Nothobranchius furzeri: one gene and its partner. The protein of the gene in region 1 purifies or fractionates together with the protein of each later gene. This does not show direct contact. Links are inferred from orthologs where the notes say so. Each region holds a gene or a part of one and is shown in the gene's direction. Other genes may lie near its edges.

Region 1 (3,762 bases):
AACTTGTTTTCATTTTTAAAACTCAAAAAACATCAATAGAAAGGCAGGAACAGCAGAGGAAGCCTGTGGGGAGAAATTGCTTAAAATGAAATCATAAAAGAAACTGGATCACAAATGTAAAAAAATATAAAAGCAGTCATGTTAACAAATGCCAGCAGATTTGTTAGATAAATGCAACCCAGTCTTGAACTGCAATCAGATTATATGATTTTGGCTAAGAAAAGAACAAACTAATCTACAAAAAGCCTAAGCAAAATACTGTAACATAATCTACAAGAAAACATTCCTTTTCCATATTTTAAATAATTTTTGTATAGTTCTAAAATACGTGATTATTTTTGTAAATTTTAAAAAGGTATTTGAATGTTTGACTCATGTAGTTACCTACCACAACCCATAGCCCTAAAATATGTTTGTCATGTATTTTTCAACAAAATATTTTACACACATTTAATTCACTGTGCTATAATGCAAAGCCTGGAAAACCACTTAACATAGTTGTTATCTATTATTTATGTTAAAATTGTAAAGATTTCAGCTGACAAACAGTTTCATTATGATGCTAACCCATTTTGATTAAAAATGTCTCTTTATAATGGAACTGGCATTGACTAAAGGAAAGCATTTTCTTATTATAATTCTAATCAATATTCCTTTAAAACTGCACTTTTGAAGATATTTACGCTATTACGTTTTATTACAACATTTATGCTTAAATATTGTCACCTTTAATGTCTGATTGCTTATAGAAAAATAATTGGCTGTTGAAAACAGATAACACAAGGGAACTGTTTTATATAGATTGTCATGAACGCACTGTAATGATCCTGAGACAGATTAGAAGCGATTCCTTTGTTTCTACAGCAAATATTAACAACGAACATGTTTCTTAATTAAATTATCGATTGATATATTGTGTTGCAGCATGGTCTACAATCAGTTTATAACATGAAACATTATAGATTTGTAATGGACCAACTCTGGACCGTACGAGCAGCACCTGAAGGCAGCAGGGCTGTGACCGCCCTCCCATTGTCACGTGACAGAGAAAGCGCTGGCTGCTGATGTGACACTGCTGTTAGCAATACTTAGCAACTTTGTTGACTTTAGTATTTTTTCGCCCCCCTTTAGATTCAGAAAAACAAGTAAAGCAGAATGGATAACAGTGGGAAAGAAAAAGAAGCTACAGCTTTAATGGCGGAGGCGGAGAAGAAAGTTAAATCATCTCAGTCGTTTTTCGGGTCGCTGTTTGGGTGAGTTTTAGTTAGCTGATGTTTAGCTTCTGCTTTCAAGCTGAGGGCCAGCTATGCGGAAGGTGACCACCTAACACCAGGGCTGATGGCTGGGCACAACAGGACTGGAGCTGCTGTTAAGATGTTGTGGTATTGAGAGTATTTGTCTACGGACGTAAGGTTATTTCCCCGGATTTCTGCTGACCATAACGTCTGCAAACAACAAAGACTAACACGTAGCCGTTTATCCCAGTAAACTGAGAAAAATTACACTGAACAAACCGTTGTTTGACATGGACGATAACAGAATACTAAATTCGTTTTTATTTAAGTATGACTGTAAAAAAATATTTTTTTAAAAAGTGTGATCACATTAGCTCTGCTGTAGCACCATCTGCTGGCTGTTCCGTATTGTGCAAATCGTCACAATGTTTACAGTAGAAACCTCAAAGTTGTATCAAATCTAATGAAAATTATTTATTGATATTTGCCTTTTGCCATAAAAATGTTGGTGCGGAAATATTGTCATTATTGGACAACAATCTCAACAGATGAAATACTATCTACTATTTTTATTTTGAAAAGTAATTACTTATTATCCAGTCTTGTTTATTGCATTTACACGATCCTAACCTGCTAATAACCAGTATCTTATAGTTGTTGTTTTTTTACACGTTTTTTCTTTCACACAGGAGCTCCTCCAAGCTGGAAGAGGCCTGTGATCTGTATGTGAGGGCAGCCAACATGTACAAAATGGCCAAAAACTGGTGTGGTAAGAGGACAGTTACTTTCCCTTCCTTGTGCATATCTGTTGATATGTTTTATCTTTTAATTTGTGTTTTCTTTTCAGCTGCAGGAAATGCGTTTGCTCAGGCTGCTCATCTTCACCTGCAAATGCAGAGTAAACACGATGCAGCAACTAATCTCATAGATGCTGGAAATGCCTTCAAAAAAGCAGATCCACAAGGTAAGAGGTCACTCAATTTTACATGGAGCTCTTTGTAAAAGGTTTTAAAATCTGGAAGGAAATACATTTTTGGACTTTTTAAAATTAACTTCATATAAAGTGCAGCCAATCTAATTAATACCTGGTTTGGCAGCAAGTTTGATCCCATGACTGTGTACACTTATCTACAGTCTTTAGTTTACCCCATACTAGCTTAGTTCCAAGCATCTTGTGTGTCTGAAATTTAGCTGTCTTCTATAGACTTACCCCTGATCGAGACTCTTTATTTTTAAAACTAAGGGTAGTTTTTATACATGCAGATTTTGAACAACATCAATGCCTGTTTGCAGCAGTTTATTTGTGCCTGTGCAGGTGGCACAACTCAAAACTAAATGTGATATAAGTAAGATGAAACGTCAAAGACAAATACCAGGAATTCTTGAGCAGTCAGAAATGTTAAACTCCTCAACCTGTGCAGAAGTTTCTGGGTAAGCCTGATTCTGATGTTTAGGGTAAATGTTTCCTACAGAAGTGCATTTAAAGACCAAGTTCACTGAGAAACTTTTTTTTACTTATTATTATGTAAATATGATTGGAAGCTCTGAGTTTTGTGTACAGGCTGAACGTGAAAAAAGTCTTCTACCCATATTTCCTGCATTAGTCGCCCATAGAAAATAGATGGGGAAATGTTTGAGTTAGAAAGTACAGTCAGCTCTACATCAAGCTGTGAATTAACATTCATGGACTCGCCCATCTTGGCTCACGACGGGGGAAGGCTGTTGTTGGTTTAGCACCCAGAAAAGAGCAGAGCTAGTAGACACTAACTGTTAGCATGAGCAACTCCACAACATAGCAGAACTCCTTTAGGCTTGTGTTATTTGAGGAGATAACATATCAGTGTTGCAGAACAGTCAGTGGTAGAGTTGTGTTAATGTTAGTCAATCAGAGGTGAGATGTCCGAACATCAGGAATTCTGCTCACTTCTGCTTCCTGAAACAGGAGCATGAGATGTTGTTTCACAAGCCATTCATGCATTCTAGAGATCACTGCAGATGTATTGAGAAAATGAGTGAACTTTGTCTAAAGTCTGTTTTCTGCAGTGGAAAGAAATTTCCTTTTACTTATTTCTTGTCATTCACTGAACTGATGTTTTTCTCTCAACAGAGGCCATAAACTGCCTAAACCGAGCTATTGAAATATACACGGATATGGTGAGGTTTTTAATACAAATCCCCCTCCTAAGCTATTATAGTTTTATTGATTTGTGTTTTTAATTTTGTTTCGTCCTTGCTCCTGTGTAATTTTAGGGTCGTTTCACCATCGCTGCTAAACACCACATCACCATCGCTGAGATTTATGAGACGGAGTTGGTGGACATCGACAAGGTCAGAGACACAGCTGATGGTTATCACGTTGTTTATATTTGATCAAATGTTTACATGGTCATTTGAATTTTTTTTTTTCGGGGGTGGTGGTGTTTCAGGCTGTTGCTCATTATGAACAAGCAGCAGATTATTACAAAGGCGAAGAATCCACCAGGTAAATATTTGACGTAACACATCTGAGCAATACTTCTGTCCACTT
Region 2 (2,323 bases), on another chromosome or scaffold:
ATTTGTGTCGCTCTCTCCTTCTCCCTTGCTGACCGTTTCTCTGTTATGTTCATTGCAACAGTCGGAAAGGTTTTTCTGCACTTCCAGACACTGAATTGGAAAAACCTCTCAGGTGTTACGGTACGGAGCAGCTTGAGTAACAAATACTACAACAGTGAAGCTTGCTCATCTTGTTGATCAAGTTCGTGTTATGAAAGTCACCGAGGGGCTACCATGAGGTGTCATGTAGGCTACCAAAGTGCAATCTCTGAGCTTTTCTGCACTTTTGTTATTTTCTGATGTCCTGAACAGCTCATGGATTACGGTAATACGGAGGAGGCATGTGAAATGCTGTCAGCAGCGACAGCCTGGTTGCTCAGAATCGTGTTCATATAGATATCAGGAAACTCGATTCCTGGTCAGATATTTGGATATAAAAGCTAAATCGTGATGAAATTATATTGTTTAAATCTCATTCCCACACAGGGTGGTGTGCCACAGAAGCATGGATGAATGCACGTAGTATCATGGCTTCCTTTCTGAATTAGTTCAGAATATCAGTCAGTAACAATCCATCAGTCCATCCGTTATCTGTACCCACTTATCCACGCTGGGGGCTCCAACAGTCTCTAGGCAAACAGGCGGGGTGCACCCTGGACTGGTTGCCAGTCTATTGCAGGGCAACACAGACACACAGGACAAACAACCATGCACACACACACACACTCACACCTAAGTATAATTTAGAGAGACCAATCAACCTGACAGTCATGCTTGTGGACTGTGGGAGGGAGCCGGAGTACCCGGAGAGGACCCACGCACGCAAACTCCATGCAGAAAGACCCCAGGGCGGGATGCGAACCCAGGACCTCGCATCAAACCTTCAGCTTTAAAACAGATGTCCCAAATGCTGCATCTTCTCCGGAAACAGTAGTAGCTGCAGAGCTGATGAAGCTTTACTGAAATTCCACAAAAAAAAAAATCCTCAATTGTGCAGATAAATGAGCCTAAAACTGTAAACTGTGAAGTGTTTGAAGCAAACAACTCATGGCTTCATTGTTACTTTTCTGTTTTTCTGTTGCGTTTTTTTTTCTCTTTTAGACACCTACATTCAAAAAACCAAGAAGTCGTACATCGACAGCCGAGCACGGAGGAATCTGGGTAGCATCAACACGGAGCTGCAGGACGTCCAGAGGATCATGGTGGCAAACATAGAGGAGGTTCTGCAGAGAGGAGAGGCTCTCTCTGGTCAGTCTTGGTCATTTGAGGCTGAAGCTTCAATCTAAAAGAGGAAAAACCTCATCTGGATCATCTTGTTTTCTTCTCCTTGCAGCGCTCGACTCCAAGGCCAGCAATCTGTCCAGCTTGTCAAAGAAGTACAGGAGTGATGCCAAATACCTGAACACCCGCTCCACCTACGCCAAGCTGGCAGCAGGTGGCGTCTTTTTCATCATGCTCATCGTCTACGTGCGCTTCTGGTGGCTCTGAGAGAGGAAGAGGGAGGAGGTAGTGAAGTGGAAACGAGCTGCAGGCCGTCTGCGAGTGCTGAGAAAAAGCAGCACTTTCGACCCAAAAGGATCCCTGCTCTTAATGAGACTTTACACACACGCACACACACACACACGCGCACACACACACACACACACACAAGCACTCATTTTGTCCTTAATTGTCCGTATGTGGGTCTGAATAGCAACGGTGTCATGAAACAATGTTTTCTAATTAACAGTCATTCTCTATCTATGGCCCTCGGATTGTAGAGGAAATTAGTGTGTGTGTGTGTGTGAGAGTGTGTGGGTTGCCTGTTTTTGAATGTGATTTCTGTGCAAAGGTAGAGAAAAAATTTATTTCCCGTTTTGTTCATTAACCTTCTGTATGTCTAAGGATACAGATAAAGGACACAAACCACATCATTATTTTCCTTTTTGCTCCTAATCTCATAAACGTGCATAACGCGTCCGATTCATCACTAAATGATCTCCGCTGTAATTTAGGCACAAACATTTGAGGCAGATTTCATTTAAAGTAGTGTTTGAACGGTTCACAAATACAACTATCTGTTTTATTTACCTTTATTGTGATGAGACAGGATGTGACATCAGACGTTATGCAGTGACTCAGAAGGGGCGAGCAACCGAAGGTGGTTCATCTCAACCCGTTCCCAGCTTTTACCCACAAGATAAAAATAAGTTTCGCACGCGTCTGTGACATGAAGAGGCTTATTAATGCACACCGACGACATCAACCCTGTTTCCTTATCTTTGCTTCCTGTTTGTAAGCTAAGGGACGTGTTTAATAAAACCGTGTCATCATTTCTCTCACATTTAAGTCTTTGTTCAAAGTT

What was found.
Region 2: the proteins of napab (region 1) and sec22bb purify together in Homo sapiens (affinity purification with mass spectrometry; 3 studies listed by BioGRID and IntAct, counting the BioPlex papers as one, with this or other methods). This does not show direct contact. The link is inferred for Nothobranchius furzeri from reciprocal best matches to the Homo sapiens genes NAPA and SEC22B.

What each region holds. Positions count from the first base shown.
Region 1 is NC_091753.1:46,790,864-46,794,625, forward strand, and holds the start of napab (N-ethylmaleimide-sensitive factor attachment protein, alpha b), read left to right. Parts: upstream 1-1,030; 5' UTR 1,031-1,155; coding exon 1,156-1,253; intron 1,254-1,924; coding exon 1,925-2,199; intron 2,200-3,342; coding exon 3,343-3,389; intron 3,390-3,485; coding exon 3,486-3,563; intron 3,564-3,661; coding exon 3,662-3,717; intron 3,718-3,762. UniProt on the Homo sapiens protein: Required for vesicular transport between the endoplasmic reticulum and the Golgi apparatus. Together with GNA12 promotes CDH5 localization to plasma membrane.
Region 2 is NC_091748.1:52,853,265-52,855,587, reverse strand, and holds the end of sec22bb (vesicle-trafficking protein SEC22b-B), read left to right. Parts: intron 1-1,080; coding exon 1,081-1,227; intron 1,228-1,312; coding exon 1,313-1,467; 3' UTR 1,468-1,673; downstream 1,674-2,323. UniProt on the Homo sapiens protein: SNARE involved in targeting and fusion of ER-derived transport vesicles with the Golgi complex as well as Golgi-derived retrograde transport vesicles with the ER.